Struthio camelus: one gene and its partners. The protein of the gene in region 1 interacts with the protein of each later gene in a pairwise test. Links are inferred from orthologs where the notes say so. Each region holds a gene or a part of one and is shown in the gene's direction. Other genes may lie near its edges.

The links. The genes of interacting proteins can lie anywhere in the genome.
Region 2: the proteins of DISC1 (region 1) and RTRAF interact in a two-hybrid assay, tested with the Homo sapiens proteins (2 studies listed by BioGRID and IntAct). The link is inferred for Struthio camelus from reciprocal best matches to the Homo sapiens genes DISC1 and RTRAF.
Region 3: the proteins of DISC1 (region 1) and TRAF3IP1 interact in binary tests that used the Homo sapiens proteins (3 or more experiments, as listed by UniProt). The link is inferred for Struthio camelus from reciprocal best matches to the Homo sapiens genes DISC1 and TRAF3IP1.

What each region holds. Positions count from the first base shown.
Region 1 is NC_090944.1:90,988,790-90,995,720, reverse strand, and holds the start of DISC1 (disrupted in schizophrenia 1 protein), read left to right. Parts: upstream 1-3,930; 5' UTR 3,931-3,932; coding exon of another isoform or gene 3,933-4,017; intron 4,018-4,711; exon of another isoform or gene 4,712-4,731; intron 4,732-5,241; 5' UTR 5,242-5,376; coding exon 5,377-5,491; intron 5,492-6,931. UniProt on the Homo sapiens protein: Involved in the regulation of multiple aspects of embryonic and adult neurogenesis. Required for neural progenitor proliferation in the ventrical/subventrical zone during embryonic brain development and in the adult dentate gyrus of the hippocampus.
Region 2 is NC_090946.1:80,587,610-80,594,841, reverse strand, and holds the start of RTRAF (RNA transcription, translation and transport factor protein), read left to right. Parts: upstream 1-4,213; 5' UTR 4,214-4,315; coding exon 4,316-4,502; intron 4,503-6,215; coding exon 6,216-6,340; intron 6,341-7,232. UniProt on the Homo sapiens protein: RNA-binding protein involved in modulation of mRNA transcription by Polymerase II. Component of the tRNA-splicing ligase complex and is required for tRNA ligation.
Region 3 is NC_090947.1:2,128,284-2,136,026, forward strand, and holds the start of TRAF3IP1 (TRAF3-interacting protein 1), read left to right. Parts: upstream 1-4,724; 5' UTR 4,725-4,891; coding exon 4,892-5,014; exon of another isoform or gene 5,015-5,183; intron 5,184-5,898; coding exon 5,899-5,967; intron 5,968-7,743.

The sequences.
Region 1 (6,931 bases):
TTTACTGCAGAGCCAGAGAAACACTCCTGCTAGCAGCACAAAAGCGGTCAGTAGCATGGGGGAGGACAGGAAAGAACAAATGGAGAAGTAGTAGCAGGGGGACAGGCAGGACAATTTCTTTGGGCGGCTGTGCCAGTTTATGCCAGTGCAATGAAACCTTGAAATTAAGGAACAGCAAAACGCTCCAGCTCCCTCCTGTCTAATGTAGGATAGAAGATAACCATTCAGCATCCGCTGCTGGGTATGCTCTTTGGCTTAAGTTCCTGTGCCCCTCCCATCCCACTTTAAAAACCTGACTACCTTCTAGAAGTGCAGAAGGGCTAAATGTTGGCGGGTAGATGCCTTTGTAAGCTCAAGACACCACACACAGTCACCTGTATCAGACTTTCTGTGGAGGGCTCAGTTCAAACACAGTATTAAAAACCAGAAGACTACTTTCACCTACTAGCATTTGCTTCAGAAGTCTATCTGTTTCCTGTACTTTTTCTCTAGGTATGCTTAAAGTCCTTTAGTACTTTCTGGTTTAATTAAACACATTGATATTAGTACATGCAACGCAAGGTAAAGTCACTTGAAGCAGAAGTGGTGAAGTCTAGGGTAACCTTTAACCTTTAGAGATTTAACTGGACAGATTCACAGCTGTTCTTTGCAGCTGCAAAGAACTTTCTTCGCATTAACAGGGGTTCTTTCCAAGTACAGATCATTCCATGTTACTTCTGAATGTTAGCTTATGGAATATTAGCTTCAGTTTGATAAGTCTGATGTTACCTTTTGGCAGCTTTGGTCTGACTGGCTTCCCCAGAGCCTCTGTTGTTCAACATATAAAAACAACACGGGAATGGTGGTGAGCAGTGAAGCGAAAGTTTGCTGATGATACTTATTTAAGGTAGTAAGAACAAGGGCTGACTGCAAAGAATTGCAGAAGGAACTTATGAGGCTGAATGAGTGGACAATCAAACGACAGATGAAATTCGCTGTGTAAAAACTGAACTGGTACATACTAGGAAGTACAGTCCTAGCTTCTCAATAAGGTGAAGAGCTCTGAGATGACCACCATCACCAAGAATGAAACTAGGATCAATTCCATGAAAATATCAGCTAAGTGCATGGCAGCAGTCAGAAAAAAAAAATCAAATGTTAAGGAGTACTGAAAAAGGAACAGAGAATACAACAGGAAACATGAAGATGGTGCCTCTGTAAAAATCCATGGCTAATCTGCACCCTTGCTTGGGGTGACCTGCACTCTCATCCCCAAAAAGTCAAAACAGAAAAGGTTTGGAGACGAGCAACAGAGATGAACAACAGTATTGAGCGCGTTCTGTAAAAGGCATATCTGAGTAGGTTAGCATCGTGCAGTTTGGAAGTGGGATCACATGATGTGATAACCACAGATACAAAAATCACAAGAGGCTTGGAAGGATGGGTAACGATCCCCATTTCTTTCAGCATAAAAACCTGGCAGCTAACAGAGAAAACTAAGTCAGGCTCAAAACAAACAAAAGGAGCTGGTTCCTCATGCAGTCGGTGTAGACCTGGGGAACTCCTCACCAAAGGATGCTGTGTTTGCCAAAAGCTGAAGTGGGTTGAAAGGGACAAGCATTTGGGAAAGGGTGAGATTCATTGCAAGTTGCTGATCAGACAAACTAAACTGAGCTCAGGAAATCCCCTGATTTGACATCGGTCAGAGGCTGGGGGGGTATAAAAGGGAAGTATTGTATGTATACGCTTGCTTTGTTCCTACTTCTCTCTAGGCAACTGCATGGGATCACTGCTAGAGGCAAGAGAGTGCTAGATGGGCCCTTTGTCTGAACCAGTACAGCTGTTCCTTTTTAACAAGTTTATCTCCGAGTGATGGGAGCTAGTACTGATGTAAGCGGACATCATCATGATCAGATTCATTGCAGCAAGTCTGAAGAAAGGAGGAGGAGGAATTCCTTCCTGAATCATGTATTAGCTATTTTTGGCATGTGAGGCACAGCTGCTCACTATCTTCTCTCAAAAGTCAGGAAGGGCATAGATTAGAATATGAGGTCAAAACTCACTTAGCACGTCCTGTGTTTCTTAACAAATGAACTGAAACCCAAGAATATAAGTAAGCTGTCAGTCTTCAGGTGAAGGTGCACACCATATGCTTCTTTTTTTTTTTTTTTTGTAATAACTTTTCTGAATGAATGAAAACTTAACAGTAATCAGAATGGTATTCTAAATTCATAATAACAATTGCTGTATCTGAGAAGTCAAAAAATACTCTTGAAAGACTAGGATGGAAGGCATAACAAACCTACTGAAAAGGTAGAGAGTATTGAATGTATTTGATTACGGTCCCGAAAAATGCTCATTCCGTGTACATGGCTAATACTGTGGATATGACGATACATGACTGAAGAATATAATACTTCAGCAAAGTTTATACATAACTGGAGCCAGTGGACAATCAAAAACTTATATAAAGCTCATAGTTAAATAATTAAGGGTATCAAAAGAAATAAAACCGACTATATCAGTATAGAAGTACTAGTCACAGTGAAAGTTGATGCATATGTTAATTAGGCAGGTAAAGACAGATAGTAGATGATGGAGGACTGAAAACTACCTACCACAAAAAACAAGGGAGGGAGTTTTAGCAAAAATCTACGTTCTTGCAATGATATGAAAGCCGAGCAAGACAGCGTCAGGAAAGTTACGGTGATTTTAGTATAAAAAGGACTCTCTTCCCCCGTGGCGAATTTGATCTATCATCAAATTCCTGAGACTGGTCACACCTGTAGGAAACATGTACCAGAATGCAACTGAATTAACTTCACATTTTTGACATTCAAACCCACAACGTTAGCAGCTGAGACTCGTTGGATTCTGAAACTCAACCCAAACTGGTTGCAATGATTTGTTTTACATACATATCACAGCAACTTGTAACAAAATGAAATAACTCTACGTCTGATGTCAAAAAAGATCATTACCTTATGAAGGTAATGAAAGCAGATATGGTGTAGAGAGCATTTCCAAGCCTAAGTTACAGAAAGCCAATGAATATCTTATCGTGCAATTATCTGCATACATTGCTGTACTCAGTAAGCATCTGGCACAGAATGCAGGTCCAGGGTAGGGTTCCTGAAAAGTCACATGGCGACTGTAAGACCAAAGCAATGTACAGTATGGCTACATTTGAAAAGAAACCATTTCCTAATAGTGCTTTGGGTGCTTAAATTACCTTATGTAGCTATACCCCTAAAGATGGGGCAGTGCAAGGGTTGGCAGTCCTCCAGGAAAGGCAGGGAGGAGGCCGCGTGCCTCCTTCCACATAGCAGGAGCAGATCCTTCTGTGCTCCGGTCCCTTTCTTCAGGCTGATGCAGATGAGGAGTTGGCCTATACTCTCCCCATGTTCTCCCCTAATTTACGACAACATTTTGCAGGCCAAGAGGAATCGAGGCAGGATAACCTTGGACCACTACGTGGGCAGGCACCTGCCCTGATTTGGGAAGGATCCTTGCCTTCTAGGTCTCCCTACCGCTCTGTACGTAGGTATATGCAGAGAAAAGCCGTTATAGCACCTTTCCTCCCAGAGCTCATCCGCTCACGCGCCGTGCCCGCCGCCTCGGCCCTGTTACAACCCGCAGGGCACAGCCTCCAAACCAGCTGGAGAAGGGCCTTGTCCTCTTCCCACAGGCGGCAGCCCGCGCCCGCTCCCCCCGAGGCCTGCCCGCCGCCCTCTCCCTCCGCTGCGGCCCAGCCCCCGAGGCGGCCGGGCCGGAGGAGGGGCGGCGGGGGCCGCCGAGGGCTGCCGCCGGCGGTGGGGCGGGCTGCCGGCCGTGTCTCCCCGCCGGGGGAGTGGCCGCGGCCGCCTCGGCCCGCCGCGACTTTCCGCCCCGCTAGGCGCCTGCCCGCCGGGCTGGCGGAGCCGCGCCGCCCCTCCGCGGCCTGGGCTGCCGGCATGTGGCGGCCCCAGCCGCTGCCCCGGGCTGGCGGCACCGACAGGCGGCGCCGCAGCGGCGGCGGGAGGGAGGTGACGAGCCCAGGTGAGAGGAAAGCCCGCTCGGCGGCCTGCGGGGCGGCCCGGGCAGGGTGGTGGGGCGGGCGTGTGCCTGCCCGCGGCAGGTAGCAGCGGCGCCCCGGGGAGCGGCGTGCGCCTCGGCCGTGAGGAGGGGCGGGAGCGGGGCGCCTCGCCCGCCTTCCTGCCAGAGCCCCGTGCCGCCGGCTCCCCGCTCCCCAGCCGCTGTTCAGTTTCTGGGCAGCGCCCGTTCTCCTCCTTCCCCTTTGCACACCCGCCCTGCCGCGCCCGGCGGGGGCGCGGGTCTTCCCAGCCTCTTCGGCTGTGGCTGCCTCGCCCTCCGTGACCGGCGGCGGGCGGGCGGCCGGGCGGGCCTGCCGAGGGACCCGTTAGGCGGCGGCCGCGCTGCGAGGAGGGAGAGCCCAGCCCGGAAACAGCGACGCGCCGGCGGGGGGTGGCGGGGAGACCCTGCTCTTGAAGCCCGCGAGCGCCAGGGCCCCGCGCGGCGGCTGGGCGGGGGCAGAGCGTTAACGGTCAGCGGCGGGCCGTTAACGGTGCACCACGGCGGGGGGGGGGCGGGACGGCGGCAGCCGCGCGCGGCCGCTCCGCGCTGAGGTCGGGTACCCGCGGCGGGGGCGGCCACCACCGCCGCCCCGGCCCCCGACGGGGTCTTCGGTCAGGTACCGACCCACGCTATTGTGGGCCGGGAGAACTGGCACCAGGAGCTGGGAATCCTGTTAAAGTACGTACAGAAAGCTGAGTGCGGAAAAACTCAGGGCTGCTGGACAAAATATGGGTCTCTTACATCACAGTTTGAAAGGTTCTTGCTTTCCAGAACTTACACTGTAGATGTATCAGTTTTCTTTCTTTCTTTTCTTTCTTTCTTGTTTTTTTTTCCTCTGAGGGCCCGGTGATGTTAGCATTTAGTTCACAAAGAGGGTTAGCGCAGTAAACGTAATCTAGGAAATTGTGTCCTTGTGGTTAGTTCTTACTGGTTTTGTTCTTTACTCAGTACCCTACCTTCATCTGTGTGGAAGCAGTTATGTAGGTACAGAGATGTGTGTGTGTGTGTGTGTGTATATATATATATATATATGTATATATTTTAAACCGACTGCAAAGGGCGAAGTAACTGTACTCTTATAAGTCACTAGTTTATCAGAATAATATGTCTAAATGTGCTTTAAAGGAAGAAAAAAGAAAGTACCGTCTTAACAGAGAAGACAAATATATGTACATATTCTTTTATTAGTACCTGAGCGGGAAGAGACTGTGACCTCCAGTGTAGAGGAACGACCCTTATCATTCGTTACTCAGAGCAGCAGCCGCTGTGGAGCCAGGTGCCTGAGCTGGGGCTTTCTGCCTTGCTGACACTGGGGCTGGTGAAATGCTGCAGCAGTGGGGAAATTTTGGAAAAAGTATGTCACCTCCGTCAGGAGACTTCACGGAGCAGGGCATAATCGGTAACCACATGTATCAGCTACCTTTTTGCTTCTTTGGAGGTACGGTTCTCTCCTTAACTTCCATTAATCTAGCGAAACTTTATGCAGTCTCTTCTTGCTGTCCTTGCCAACGTTTCAATAGAAAACAGCTCATTCATGTTTTGGTAATCCACACTAATGTCTGTGTACGAGTCGTTGAATAACTTTTTACTGCGCTTCTGTGCAGTGATTTAAGAGCTCCGCAGTGAAGTGCTTTTATAATAAAGGCTTTTACAAAATGTCCTGCAGAACATATAACCAGCTAGTTCTACCGGTAACTAAAAGTAAATTACAGCTTTCAAAGAAATGAACAAAGTACGCTGCGATGCACTGTCTCGGTTTTTGTCCTTTTATATTTGCCCAAATACTTGCTAATTTGCAATTGGCCTTACAGTAATTAATGCAAACTGGAGAAGTTCTACTTCAATAAACTTTTCTTGTTGTTTAAATACTAAATGCCTTTAATTATAGTATATCAGTATTCCTCCATCTCATTGCTGAAGTTCAAGCTGTTATGTTTTTTTCTAGAAAGGCACTGATAGTGGCTTTCTGGTTGGAGTCACAGTAGATTTTTTCCTATCAATAACGCTTTTTGACACTTACAAAATGGAAAAGAAGGGATGTTTAAAATAAATATATGGCTTAAAAGAGAAAAGCTGAGTTTAGAGGTTTGTGGTTACGCAAAATATTGCGATGGTGGGGTAAGGGAATGTAAACAGAAGGCCAAATGATTGTAAATGGTGTTTTGTATGTTTGAGATTAAGGCCGAGTCCAACTCTGTGTTTTTTCTTGCTTTCCAGAACTTACACTGTAGATTTATCAGTTTTCTGTATAGTTCTTTGGGCAGTGAAAATAATGTATTCTCATTTTACTCGGCTAATGATTTACAGTGCTGCAGCACAAACCTTTAAAAAGTGGTGCTATAAAAATATGCAAGTATTATATTGCCACTGACTTCCTCCCTCTTTAAATTTAGATAAATCAGCCTTTGTTCTCTTCAGTAAAATCAAGTCAAAAGTTTGGGCCTAAGCTACTACTTGTGGAATTGTAGTAGGGTCATATAAGAAAAGAGGATTTATTAGCACCAGTTTAAGTTAATTGTAAAGAACAGAAAGACAGAAAGCACGACCAACAATGTTTGGTACTTACAAAAGCGAAAAACCCTAAAGGTTAATTCTAGCTTTGTTCACAAATTAGGCACACTCGGTTAGTTTTTTTCTGCTCGCTATAACTTGGGCCTCCTACAGCTACTGAACCACCTGACCTTTCAAATGAGATTTGCTGGAGTGTGTGACACCTCCTGAGTACTCATCAGGAGTTATGATTTTTTCGTTTTAGCATTTGGTTTCCTTGAGCAAACATCCTTTCCAATTGAGTGGTAGGTAATCTGCAGCCTCTTCTAGTTTTGGACATAATACTCCTGATAACAACTCCGGCAAAACTGATTTTGTTACCTCTTGT
Region 2 (7,232 bases), on another chromosome or scaffold:
GCCCGCCCGGAGCGCGCGCCTGGCCCGCCGATGGCGAGCAACAACACCGCGAGCATCGCCCAAGCCCGCAAGCTGGTGGAGCAGCTGAAGATGGAGGCCAACATCGACAGAATAAAGGTAAGGCGGGATGGCCAGCGGCGCCGCGGCCGGCGATGGGGAAAAAAGATAGAAAAAGAGACTGTGCTCGGGCGCGCGGGCGCGTAGCCGCTCTGCCGCGCGCGCAGGGGGAAGGACGATCCCGCCTGTGCCTGACGCCCCGCTCCTTCTTCCAGGTGTCCAAAGCCGCGGCAGACTTGATGGCGTACTGCGAAGCCCACGCCAAGGAGGACCCTCTCCTGACCCCCGTCCCGGCCTCCGAAAACCCCTTTAGAGAGAAGAAGTTCTTCTGCGTGATCCTGTAACCCCGCGAGGAGCCTGACCGGCGCTCAGGCCACCCTGAACACTGATGTAGAGTTTTTAGGAACGGGGACGACCTGGTAGTCCACAGAATTTAAACAAAACCAAACAAAAAAAAAATCAGTAAAAAACGCGGCCTGGAAGCTACGGAGATGTGCATGTTTAAAGAGCCTGGCCGCCTTTGGGGGAATAAGGTGATCTACCTTGCGAGGCAAAAGATCTGAAGTCTGTAGAGTTGCCTAGAAAGAAAAACAAAAATATGTAAAGAATAAATCTGTGTCACTTTTCTGCTCACAAAACTTGTTTGATTGTTCCATGTCCAAAGCACTAGAGTCGTGCTGAGCAAAGTAAATTGCTAAGGATGTGTATAACCTTACTGGAATGATGTTGTCGGGTTTTTTCCAAATACGATTTTTTTTCTTTTTATTTAACTTGTCGGATATATAGCAACAGGCTAGATTTACTATGAATGTTCCTTAACGTTTGGTCTTGTGCTTTTTAATTTTTGGCGTGAGGGTAGCGCAGAGATCGGCTGGAGCGGCTGCCGCGCGGGAGCCAACGGAGCCGTGCGGCCGCCGTCCAGCCCCGGCGGCGGCTCGGCGCCCGGTTCGAGCGAACCCCACTTTCTGACGTCCTGTACGTGGTAGCTTCGACTCTGCAAGTAAAAGTGAACCGTTGTGTCGTGGTGGGTGCTTCGTACTTCTGTGACGACGTTTAGTGCATGGGAGTGAGCTGCGTGCAGCCGCTCCGCCTTTTCTGCTCTGTTGTTTTGAGGCCGCGCGCTGGTGGGAGAAGCTGTAGAGAGGGTAAACCGAGGCGATCCCGAAAGCCGATGCCTTCGCCGGGCCTGAAACACGTGCTGCGCGAGGGGAGGGTGAGCTCTGGGGGCCGGCAGCCCGCGCCCCGGCGCCTGGAGGTAGCTCGAAACCCGAGCAAGTCGAGTCGACCGCTTCTTGGTGGGCTTTCTCCGACACCTCCGTGCCTCTCCTCTGCTGCCGTCCGCTTCTCCTGGCCACGGCGTCACCCCGCCGCCGGCGTCGGGGCCGGGAGCCCTCCGGCTCCGCTTCCCCCGCCGACGCCGGGGAGCCGCTCGCTCGGTGCGGGGTGGCGGCGCCGCGTCCCTCCCCGGCCTTTCGGTGGGACGCGGGCCACCACCTCCGGCCGGGCAGCTCCGAGGTGGCTCTGCTGCGCCGGCTGCAGGCTTCCCGGGAGGCGACGGGCAGCAGGTCGTTCCCGGCCTCGGTTTCCTCGGCCGCCGGCCAAGGCGCGCTGGCTCGGGGCGGCCGCGGAGCTCAGCCCCGCGTCGGGCCGCGCCGACCTCTCTCGCTTGGTGGTGACGGAGCTCTCGTTTTTCCTCCTCGTGGAAACTCCCGGGGCGCTTGGAGACCCTTTACTCCAGGGTTGGCCGAAACCCTGTTAAACTCTCGTCCTCCATCAGGTATCAGCTTAAAAAATAATAGGCGCGTTGACGAGGGCAACGGTCTCCGGGTACCTCTCGGTGGCTCTTTCTAGCCCGTGACGAGCGCGTTTTGGGTTTTCTACCTTTTCATACTCTTTTTCTAGTCTTCTGGAGAGAAGCCCCCACCTTGTTCTTAACCCTTTGGGCGCCTGGGAAGGTTTATAGGAGGGGAGCAGGCTAGACGGGCCGAGCCGGCCCCGGCCCGCCTGGCCGTCCTTCTCCCGCGGCTCGGCGAGCCGGGCGGCCGGGTCGGCGACGCAGGCGCAAACGTGCCGTGAGCGGTTTGCCTTTGCCTTTTTCACGCCGATTTGCTGCAACGGCCGGCGAAGCGCCGCCGGCCTAACGCAGGGCCGGGGAGCCCCCGCGCCGCTCTCAAGCGCGGTCATGAAGTGCTTTGTAATGATTTATTTTATTTTATTTTATTTTTTAAACGACTTGCGTGTTTTACAACTTGAATTCTTACGAAAAGAAAAATAAAAACAGGGAAAAAAAAGCTGCATGAGAAGCATAGAGGGGGATATGTGAATTAGCCTAAACTGCTCATTGAAGGTGTTTTACGTTTCTGGTCGGGGTTTTTATTTCCGTGCTGTTGTTTACATAGGTGCGCTGCCAGAGATTTCGCCCCGGGATTTATATTAGCGCAGATATGCCTTGGTTAGCGAAGTAGAGCGAGCGCCTGCCCACACCGCGTCCCCCCTGGACAAGCGTGAATCACCTCCCCGAAGTGATGCTGTATTTTCAGCGTGGTCTCAAATGCCGTTAATCTCTACCCCCGGGCTTTTAAAGAAAAAGAGTACTGGAGTACTGAAATGGGACTTTTTCCTCTTTGTTTTTGTTTTTTTTCCCTGCAAACGTAATTCATGGCAGGGGGGAGTGTGCCGCCCTGCGGTACCCGCGGTGGGAGGTTTCGGGCAGAGGGGCCGCGCGAATGTCCATGTTGGCGTGTGTGTGGGTGGGTGGGTGGGGGGATGGACTTAAAAAACCGAAATAAAACAAAAAAAAAACCCCAGCGCGGGGCAAGTCGGAGTCGTGATGTAGCGCGCGTTCCCCCATCCCACGTGGTCAATGTAACTCGTTGGAAATAATAAAATTTTGGATTCGTTTCAGCCCGGCCTGTCTCTCGTCCTTTGGAAAGGGCGCCGCGGGAAGCGGGGCGCAGCCGGGACGGCTGGTGCCCGTGCAAGACCTCGCTGCTCGTCCGCGGCGCCCCGCTCAGCAGAAGACCCTGCGGGGTGCAGAACAAGGTGTAAGGATGGGATTTTGGCTACCAAACCTTCCACCTTCGAGCCAGGCGTTGGCTGTGGGCGGGTGAGCGAGGGCCAGAAACCGGCACCGCTCAGCTGCTTTCCGCCTCCCTCCCTGTCGATTCCCCGGGGCTCGAGCGGAGGTTTTATCCTCCACTCCCCTGGCTTCGGTTCCCGAGCTGGCGCGGAGGAGGCGCGAGCCAAACCCCGGCAAAAGCGCCCTGGTTTCGGCCGGGTGCGATGCCGGCGGGGCGGCGCGGGGCCGGTTGCCGGCCCCGGGGGGATTTGCCAGCGAGGTGGGAGCAGGGATGGGGCGGGTGACGGTCCTCGCGGGCTGTCTGCAAGGCGAACGAGAAGGAGGGAAGCCTTCCTCCCTGAATCAGGGATGAGGAAGGTCTGCAAAGCCCAAGCCCCACGCTAAGGGTTGGGAAGGGCTCTGTCCTGAGGGGCGGCAGAGGAAGGAGAGGAGGAGGAAGGACCGGGAGCCCTGTGCCGCTCCTGGCAGCGGGGCCGGAGAGGTGGGAGAGTGCCACGAAACGGCACGGCTGGGGAGGACGAGCCGTGCCGCGCCGGGCGGGCTCCTCGGCTCCGACACCCCAGGCCTGGTGAGGATGGAGAGAAGGGCTGGAGGGCTTCGGGCCAACATGGGGCTCCACCAGGTGCTGGCCGGCAGCTGGCGCGCGGCGGGGGGCCACGCGCGTTCGTCGCCCCCGACCCTAACCTCCTAGCCCGGAGGTTTGGCCACCTAAACATCTACCGCAGAAACTTGTCCCCGCCGTAAACCGCAGGTATCGCAAAAACCAGAGCGACCCTACGACGACTACAACGTATATTGGGGCAATAACCCCCTGACGGAAGACGGCAGCCACTTGCACCCCAAAAAAGTGGTAACCGGGGGAAAAACCCCACCCTGGGAAATGCCCTCCGGCCTGGTGTGTGGGGCAGCCCCAGTCCCCCCCCAGTATGTCCCACTTCCCCCCAGTGCTCCCCACGACGGCCCACTGCGGCCTACACGCCCGCCATTTCCCCACCCGCCCGCTGGCTCAAGCCCCGCCCGCTGGCTCAAGCCCCGCCCCTGGCTCAAGCCCCGCCCCCGCCTGTCCCCATCCGGCCGGCCGGCGCTGTCAATAAAGCTGCACGGATACCCCTCGTTCCCGGCAACCCCCTTCCACGCTCTGATTGGCGGCGGCGCCTGCCGCTCGGCGAGCGAGGGCCAATGGGAGGACAGAACGCGAAGGAAGGGGCGGCACCTTCCTGTGCGCTTCGGCCTGAGGGGGCGGAAGAGCGGCTGGGCCCGGGCCTGAGCGGAGGCGCCGTTGCTGCCGGCTTCGGTGCCGGCGCCATGTTCCGCCGCAAGCTGTCGGCTCTCGACTACCACAACCCGGCCGGCTTCAACTGCAGGGGTGAGGGCCTGGGCGGGCTTCACCGGGCCTTTGCGCGGCCCCGCTAGCAACCGTTTCCCTCCCGCACTAGGCCCCCGGGCCCAGAGGTGTTTTTGTTTCCCCGCTCTTGTTGCCTCGACGTTTCGCCCCTTGGAGTGGGGCTGCTGCGCGGCGGGGCTGCTCCCGGGGGCCGGAAAAGAAGGGAAAAAAAACAGGGTGAAAGCGGCTGCGAACTGGTGAGGTGCGGTGCGGGCCTTGCAGCCTGTGTGAGGCAGCTCCCCGAGGTCGGAGTTCAGCCGCAGCTCGCTTTGGTCACGGCGGACAGTGCTTCTCGTTCAAGGAAAATTCACTTTCTCTTGGGAAATTCAGGGCCACCGGGTGTTGTAGCGGTCGCCCGTGGGTAGCTTGGTTCTAGCAGGTTTTTCACTATCGTGTAGAAACGGAGCAAAAGCAAAGGTAGAATCCCGTAGCCTGGGGCAAAGCTGAGGTAAGCTCCTGGCAGTCCTTGGCCTGCCCTCGTTACGTCTTGCCTTTACGTAACGCAGGAAGCAGGTGTCACCGGTCCTGCAGGACGCACCCTTAGTTGCTCTATGAACCTGCCTGGTCCCAGGAATGTGGTTTGTTCTGTGCACTAACAGTAGCGTGGTAACCTTGTTAGCTCTTAATACGTTGATGTGTGTTAATACTTTGATTTTTTTTTTTCTTGCAACCTTAATTTTCTGTTGTTGTTCAAAAGAGCAGTATGAAATATGTATTTAGCCAGTGTGATCAATTGTATGCTTTAAGCAATCTTTTTCCTAGACTGCCTTTTAATGATTCAGGTAGACTGGCTTCTCCTTCAAGAGGTTGTCTACTGCCATCATCTTTTCTTGTGTATCTAAACTTCTTTGTAATTAGCTTCTTAAAAAAAAAAAGCTTAATTCTGCTAATCTTTAAGTGTCTTAGTGAAAGCTTTTCTTCGCACATGTTGTGACTCTGTGTCTGTTTCTTAAAGTGCATTCAACAGAAATAGGGCACTTATGTCTCTCAGAAGACGCTGCTGAGGAATAGGAATAACGTTCTTCTTCCTGATGGAAGCATGGTATTGTTAACCCAGGCTGAGTTGCAGGAGAAACTGCCTCAGGATATTAAAACTCACCCAATGCCGAAGTGTTACCACTTATTTTGAGGGGGCAGTAGTACTCTAGGGCTGTGATTTCCTGTGTCTAGAAATAAATTCTGTCACTGAAGAGCAGGTGCAAAATAATTACTTTGTCCTGTACTAACATTATTGTTTGGACCACGGTCTTTGTATTGTGGAATTCTGACTCCAAATGGTAAAATGTTGAGTCAACAACAATGAAAAAATACCTTTGCAGAGTCACGGGATGTGTGTGTATTGTTCTTTAGAAAAGACTGGGTGTTATTGCAACATGTGATATGTTTGTCTAGGCAACAGGGTTAGTAACTGAATTTCTCCATATCATTGTTTTACTTTTCTTTCTTTACCTAACAACAATCTGTTGGTTGATATCTTTTAGTTTAGTTGGTCAACCATAGACAATTAGGTGACTTGAAAATAAAAAAACACTCATAGTGCTGAGTTTTGGTCAGAGGTTATCCTGAAATACAGTTTCAGTGGTAGATGCATCTTTCATTGTGGTAAAACACTGAATGAGATGCATCAGAATTCAAGGGCTGGGTTTTGCCCTTGAAATATTTGTTGATTCTTGTGTGTTTTGTTTCTCTCTATAGATGAAACAGAATTCAGAAACTTTATTGTCTGGCTTGAAGACCAGAAAATCAGGCACTACAAGATTGAAGACCGAGGGAACCTAAGGAACATACATAGTGATGATTGGCCCAAATCTTTTGAAAAGGTATTTTGTTGTTTCAGGCACAAATTTAAGCTGTGAAGCTGTCTTGTGTAAATAATGATAAATAGCTTCTGTAGTTGTAGAATGTGAATTACTGTGAATATTTGTCCTTTCCCTGAACTTTTACACTTCCCGTAACGTAAATGTATAATTGAAGCCGAACTATAGCAGATATTAAGATGGTAGAACTTCTTGTACATAATTTTCATTCAACATGGTTTTGCAGTAGCTGGTTTCTTAGTCTGTTTCTTACCTGAATTGATTCTGCTTTTGATAGAGGAAGAGAATTGACTACAAATAACAGCTTTTTCTGCATTAGTGTTTTTGTGTACCAAAAGTAAAATGGATCAGGCTAATGCAGTCTTAGACTTTGCAAGCATATAAAAGAAAGAACAGCAGCTGCCCAGAAAAGCTGCAGTAGATTTCAGATGGATGATTTTTCCACTGCTTGCACGAAGCCTGGCACAAATCCATAGTTATGTGAGTGATCTCCTGTGTGCTCATGAGCATTTTGAGTCACCATGGAGCTGTTCTAGCTTTCCCTCTAGGTTCCCACGTCCTCTTTTTAAAAAAACAGCCTTGCAAGGAGGTGAAAATGCTGCTCCGTAATGCTAGTTGCATGTAAATTGTCTTTATTTCACTGGAACTTTTTGCCTGGTTTGCTGTCCAGAAGGATTGGATTTGGCACCTTTGCAGGAGGGAGCCTAAAGAAAAGATCCAAAGTTGATGTCAGGGTAATGTTAGGAGTTTTAAATACATGTGATATCAGAACTACTGGCTGCTGATGCTGTTGTGGTATCAGCAGTACGAGTGTTGTAGTACTGCAGCTCCGTGTCATCTTTCTTGACCTGGCCGGACTGTTCTTCTCACCTTGTCTTCCTCCCGTGCCTCTTCC
Region 3 (7,743 bases), on another chromosome or scaffold:
TAGTAACTTAAAAAAGCAAACAAAAAGCACAACCGTTTAACAGAGGCGAGGGAATTAGAGCACGTTCAAAGGACGCCTGTTTCCCAAGCAAATGCAATCATTTCTTTGTCTCAGGCTCATTCTGTGGACTTGATCTGGTTGCTGTTTGTGATGTTAGGATAAGGGGGACTGTATGATTATTTATTTCTGCTTCAGGAATGGATTTCAACGTAAACTTCCCAAATCTCATACGGTGATGATCTTTGTAGAAATCCCCACTTGTTTTAGAATTCTGCACAACTACAGACTGCTTGGGTTTTTTATCTTTCAAAAAACCTTAAAATTTAGAAACCCAGTGAAGCATGGAAAAACCTCAGAATTTATCGTGCAGTTGGCAATAAAAGTTGGGTGAATTCTCTCACGTTTCATTCTTGTTTCAGAAAAAGAGTATTTTATGGGGCAGGTGAATCAACCAGGTGCTTCACTTATTCTAGCAGCTTTGGCTCAGGGCATATAGCCAGAGAGTCTGTATCTGTTTAACTCTCCAGCTAAAGCAAAGTTTAATTGTTAAGAAACAGAAACAACACCTTCCTATGTCTCAAGAAGCTATTGCAGCCTGTCAATCTGTTATGCCTCTTCCAGCTCTTTGCAAGGTTACAGCCAAAAAGTAGGATCCCAAAAGTAATACAAAACCAGAATTACGTAGGAAGAACATTTTTTATGCTCCAAGAAAATTCCTCTTTTTTTGTTCAACAGACTACCCATGGATTTGGACAGGATCCCCTGCTCAGCTGTTTACCATCACTAAAAATGTTGCAGGAGCTGTTCAAAGCTGTTCATGTAGTCTGCATGTCCCTCCATGTTACTCATGCCCTGATACCACTGTCCTCTGGTCTGGTCCATACTAGAAATGTCTGTGTCTGAGACAGGAAGTGGGTGCTTTCCATTGTCAGGCTGCATCTATAATTTTCAGGAGCATTTGGTAGTTTGGCTGACCTAGGTTGGGAACTGCATGTATAAATACAAATACAAATACAAATACAAATACAAATACATATACATATACATATACATATACATATACATATGCACATGTATGCTACTGAGATCATAAGGTCATTTGGGAATGGAGATAATACCCTACTGTTTGTGGTATATAAAGAAAAATAGAGCTAGGAAGCTTTCCATTCCAGCTGCTGAGCAGTTAGGCCTTAAATATTTGGCTAGCAATACGCATTGTAGTGCCACCTTGTTGCTTTGCAGCCTACTTCAGCAAAGGAATTCTGTGGTATCAAGTCAAATTAGTGGCTGGAAAGGTCGGGTCTCCTGCTGTGGAAGGAGGTAAAACTTGGAGGAAAAGGCAATATGCATTATGTCTTTTGCTGCTTGCAGTAGTGGTGGTCTGTTTGAAACAGCAAGTTTCTCTGTGACCCTCTTGATGCTGGGACGACTTTTGCAACGTGTGCGAGATCTGTGAATCTTGGCATGAGTCAATCTGTAAGCTGCTTCATCTCCTATTGACGCTATGTGGTCAACAGCACTTCCTACTGGCATCTTCAGGAGGATTGTGTGAGATTCTCAATGGAATGTTAAAGATGTGTAAGCACTTCTGCTGCTCACACAGTTCACTAACCGTAGTTGCTTTTTTGCCGTGTTTACCAAGTCTTAGATATTCTCTCTGTATTTTCACCCCATGTGAGAAGGTCTCAACATGCCCAACCTCTACTAGCAATTCTAGTCCAAGGTCCTCAAAAGTACTAGGTCTCCAAACTAAGCCTCATGCACTAGTCTCCAGACTAAACCTCAGGCTATCTGTTTTGTGGTTTTAGGATAATTCTTTCAGTTCCAGTGCCTCCCTTTAGATCCACAGGGATTCATGGAGTTTTTGTAAGTTGCCAGCTTTTGATTCTTCAGCTACATTGAGCCGTGCTTCCTCAGGGTACTACCTCTTCAGTGAAACAAGCATGCTAAAGGTCAAATTTAACAAAGCCCCAGAGACTCCTTCTCAGGCTTTACAAACACTCCATAGAGAGCTAGTGGCAGAAGTCCAGATAAACCACATGATTCCAAAATAAACAAACCTTCTTCCCCAGAGCAGCTTCTTCCCAGTCTTCTTGCTTCCTTTGAGACTCCTTCTGATGCCCTTGGATGTAGAAGCTGTCAACACGTCGTCTTCTTCCCAGGCTCACCAGATCCTGTAGTCATAATCTGTCTGGGAACCGCATCAATTTATGATTGTGTCAGACTGAGAGAAGAGACAAATTGCTTCCCTACAACTTCCTCCTGCTGAACTACCTGCTCTCAGGGGCCCAGGTGTAATTACTCTGTCAGCATGCAAGCTGTCCACTTGTCTTCCCCTGCAGAAAAATAACCTCTTTCCATGCTTGAACTAATACCAGATAAATCTGTTTTGTAAAGTCTTCCTTTTTGTTCCTAAATCTGAGTCTGATTCATTCTCACTCAGGCTCTACTCTGTCTTATCCGAAGACTTGGTTCTGGCATGGGAGAACTTGTAACAATTCCTTTTAGGAGGAGTGTGACAACTGCAAAGTGCTATTTAGCAAGGCAGAGGAGCTGCAAATTTGGGCTGTTAAATGGGCAGGCAGTCACAGTGCACAGCAGTACAGACTGCATGTAGCCCTATTGAAGTTTAGATTTCAAAAATTAATGGTCACAACGGGCTGAGCAGAAAAGCAGAACTTTCCTTCCTAGGGCCCCAAACATGATCAGGAAGATAGGAAGCAACATGAACAAGCACTTGGAAACAAAGTTTTTGCTTTTTGATAAAGGTTGTAAGGTGGGAACCACAAAGCAGGTTGCACAGAGTGTGTAGTACTCTATCTGGTAGGAATGTCCCTGTAGGAGACAATGATGGTGCTGGTGGTCCTGTGTTGTTATTTCCCTTCAATTGGCTTGTCCTGACTTTAGGGGGAGTGTGATATAGGATCAGAGAATTTGGAATGTCGTTCCTTCTTCTCAATCTCACTCTTTCTACTTCTTTATGTCAAGAACAATTTAAAAAATACCATAAGATATAATTTAACTTTATAAACACTTAATGCTTCACTATTTATCTGATAATTATTCAAATGAGGGATTGGGTTTTGACTAGCTGTATCAGACAAAATGCTTTTAGGGTTCATTCTAGGGACTCTTTCCCAGATGCTCCAGCTGTTCTGACATTGCTGGACACCCGCAGATCTTAAATTTTATTCATGTAATAAGCTGCCACACCTTATACTTGCTTCACTGTGCTTATATTTGGTAAATAGTGTCTGAATATAGAGCTGAATTTTGGCCAGCCTGGGCAGCAAAACTTTTTCCCTTTTCTTTCGGGTGGCTTGTACTTACAACTATCCGGCAGTTCTGAAGCAGCTGGAATCACTCTCTCCTCAGGTCCAAACTTTGGTCCTCAGTAAACATTCTGGCTTGCTATCTTTTGTTCCCGTGTTGTAGGTAATGCTTGAGTAAGGAACTCAACTTTGACTAGCTCAGTACCTTAGGAAGCTGAAGCCAATTGTTTGCTCTTGGATCTTTGTTACTAAATAACTTCATTGGCTTTAAAACAAAATCCAAAGGTTTCTGCAGTCAAAAGAGCTACGTCTTGCATCCACTTTCAATTTGAGTGCCCTAGAGTAAGACTTAGATACGTTTAAAATTATGCTGTATCTTGACAGATACATCTTACTTCTATTTTGTAAAGTACTCTGTGAACAGCATTTGGAGAGGGGACTAAGCTTTGACAGATACATGACAAAATTCTTTCCATGCTACCTGTGAAGTCACATGGACCTGTGACCATCAGGCCACTCTGAACTAGCTGGCTCTGGCTACTCCCCATGCAAGGCTTTAGGACTATTTAGTCAAGAGTCGGACTAGACAGAAATACATATTCGCATGCTGGTAGCACATATATTACCCTGAGGGACTGTGCAGGCAAAGTGACTTGGGCACTTGGGAGACAGGTCTTCACACACAAGTGTGCCCCACAGCACCTGCGGTACCTCCACAGCTGCCAGGAAGAGCTGGAGTTAGCGTGTGCGTGCTGCCGGCTTGTCTTTGGGGCAGTTCCTGGAGGCACAGGGCTGCTGAACAGCAGTCAGGCAAAACCAGTCCAGCACCTCCTCAAAGCTTTGGTCCTGCTGCGCTCATGCCCTAGGCCTGACCTGCATATCCATGGTGGAAATGTCATGGTTTTCTAGATTTGACTTATTACCAGGACAGCAAGATAAGGCGTTATCTTATCCCATCGTATAAGTAGCGTTGCAACAGAAAACACAGTTTTGGCCTGCGGGGCAAAGGAAAACGCTTTCTGCAACACACAGGGTAGGCGCCCGTGGGCGCTTCCGGGCAGGACCACGGGGCAAGGGCATCCATCCTCCCGTTCATCCCTGGCGCACAGTGGGCATCACTGGGTGGGGTGCAGAGGTTAACACGCAAACAGATCCCAAATTTAAGCAACACCCTCCTCTCCTGCAGGTACTTGACAACCAAAAAGCGCCCCGCTCCCACTCCCGGCAGTAGCAAGAGGCAGCCCAGCCCAGGGCTTTAGCCCCCCTGAAGACACTCCCTTGGCAGCTGGGTCCCTCAGAGCTAGCAGGGCCTTAGGCCCCACTGGAGGAGGCAGTGACCTCAAGGTAGGAGGGCGTATGTGGGGGGGGGGGGGGTTGCTGGGCTGGGGGCAAGGCGGGGCGCCCTGAGGCAGCCACTACCTTGCCCAGGCCTAGCACGGGCGAGGCGAGGGCGGGGCCTAACATGGCCGCGGGGGCCCGTTGCTAGGGCCGCGCCGCTGCGCCTAGCAACAGCGTCGTGGGAGCTGCGCTTGTGCAGTGAGGCTCCGTGCGCCGCGGGGCAGCTTGGGAAGGCTCGAAGTCGGCGGCGGCGGCGGCGGCGGCGCGCTCCCGCCGCCGCTATGAACGAGGCGGTGGTGCGGCGGACGCAGGAGTCGCTGGGCCAAGTGATCCGCAAGCCGCCCCTTACGGAGCGGCTGCTGAGCAAGCCGCCCTTCCGCTACCTGCACGACGTGATCACCGAGGTGGGCCCGGAGCCTGGCCGCCGGCCCGGCTCCGCTCCGCTGGTTGCTAGGCAACAGGGCCGGCCGGCCGGCCTGGCCCGCTTCCTTGACGGGGGCGGAGGGGCCTGCGGGGGGCAGCGGGGCCGCTGTGCGCGCCGTGGGGCGGGAGAGCCCCTGGCCTTTGGAGGAGGTGAGGCCTGAGGAGGCCGGAGCTCTGCCCGCAAGCCCCCGGGGGCGCACGGGGCTGGGTGGCCCCAGGGGGTGGCGGCTGCGGAAGCTCAGCTCGCGGTGGGGAAGACGTAAACCGGCTTCTTAGCGTGGCTTTCGGGGGGTTAAGACCAGGCAAGGGGTCTGACTTCTTCCTCCGGTCCAGTGTGGAGCTGGTCTTTTGTGAAATCTGCTGTTGGAAGGTTGTAAATGCTAATGAAGTGTGCGTTGAAGCAGCTTGATTTTCCACCTCCCGCTTAGAATGAATCTTAATTTTTGTACTTACTGAGCTTCTGCTTTTGTATGTAGTTGCATGTAAAGAAATCAATAAGGGAATAACCGAGAGCTGCGTTGAAATCCTGTACCCTGGTGCTAAGTTAACATTGCCATTTGAAAAGCATGTGTCTCAGCCTTCAAGGTTCCCAAACATCAAGGTTAAGTATGGGTTTAAGTGGGAAGGGACAGTAAGGAAGGAGTAAGTTTCACTGAAACATGTTCGAGAGCATATTCAGCGATACAGCACACCTCTGAACCTGCTCTAGAACTAATTCTAAATGACGTATCCTCTCTGAAAGTAAGACTGATACGTTTGCTCTTGTCAGGAAGTTCACAGAGACCGTTCCTGTCCATAAATGTTTTCTTAAAAAAAAAAAAATCAAGAAGTTTTCTTAACCTGTTACTTTTCCTCTGTTTTGAAGGTAATCAGAGTAACAGGTTTTATGAAAGGACTTTACACGGATTTTGAATTGAAATCAGATAACGTTAAGGTGGGTATTAAACTTCCTTATTTATTGGGTTTTAATATTAAGATTCTTTCAAACCTGCCACAAGGTATTTTTCATCATTTCTGTGTTCAATTTCAAGTGATTGTCTTTAATTTAACATTGTGAAGAAATAGTAGGAGGTATTGCATATTGGTTATCTTATGTAGTGCCTAAGGAGAATACCTACAGATTCCATTCATGGAATGTCTGTGTAAAAGAACTGTTTCTATACAGATCTTGAAACAGTGAGATCTAATCTATGACGAGATCTAGATTTTCAAAGTATTATTGTATTACAGATAATAATAATCATGTAATAAGATTGCGTTGAGGTAAATAGCCACTGATAATAAAATCACAGATGCTAAAAATCCATGCACAGCTCTTCTAAGAGACTGGTGGTCTCTCTACAGAATGTGTGTTTTCAGATTTATTACTTAAAATATATATATATTTATATACATGCACATATATATATGCATACACAATAAATATTCTTGCTTAATATTGCAGGACTTTCTGAAGTGCTCATGTGGTGTATACAATCTATAATAATTTTATTGCTATCTACCAATACCTAATTAATGAAAGAGGAGGTTAATGTTATTAATGAAAAATATTTTTGTTCCTTACAAGAGTGATTCTTGTCTGTGTTTGCTCTTCCTCTGCTGTCTGCCTCTCTGCTCCGCCAGGGATGCTGACTTCTCCAACTACAGGCTTGATTCAAAGCTAGATTGTCATTTGAGTTTCTAATTCATGGCAAATAATGTAGTTCCTAGTTAGAAAGCTATGTCCACTGCAAATTGTTTAGTGTAGCAACTACAAATACAAGGTCTATGAGCCTGGCTTATCTGGTATAGAGATCTGTATACAACCAGTGGCGTAGATGGTTTGTGCAATTCGTGCAGATAATTACTAGTCTGATGTGTACATTTATTTCTGTGGATGTTCATACTGTTATTTGAATTGCTAACATCTAAATTAGTTATACCAGAGACTTATACATGTGTATGTATTTGGTACTTTCCCTGCTGAAGCTTGTTAGTAGTTCTGTGATGAAGAGCAGCAAAGTACTCTTGTTTGGAGAGCCCTGTGCATTTTTTTGTTTTGTGAACTGAAAAAAACAGATTTCCTAGCAACTCTAAAGTAGATCTTTGCTTCTGTATTTGCATTCTGTCACATCTGTGAAGTTGCATGAACCTCTTGAGCACTTCTCTGAGAATTTCTTCCGCGGTCCATGCTATCATAGTTTTCATGAGTTCAGGTAGAGGAGATCAAAATGCTGCAATGCTGGGAAAACAGCTATAGTTTGTGTTCCCCTTTTCGAAACACAGGTCAGGGGGAAGACTCTGTGCTCACAAGATGCTTTGTTAGCATAATCTCTGTTGGAGTTTTAGAAAATCAGGAGAGTGATCTTTTTATGGCAGGAAAAGGGGGAGGAATCTTTTTGTGGAGACCAGAGCTACCTGCAGAGAGTTAGAGACAACAGCGGAGAGTTAGAGTCCATGTTGTGAATAGCTGTATATATTTCCATGCAAAGGTGATCTGCTTTAGGTAACACCAAGGGATGGTACTCATCTGGTGTGAGGATCTCGGCGATGGGTACATAGACTTGGAATGGGCAGGATGCTCTCAGAAAAAGGAGAGGTCTGTACCCAGTCCTGATGCTGTAGTCCAGAGTTCTTGCCGTGGGAGGAGAAAATTGGCAGTTGTTCTTTGGAAGCTGGTTGTGTGGTGCAGTTGCAGATCACTAGAAGCATAGTCTGCAGCTAAGAAAGT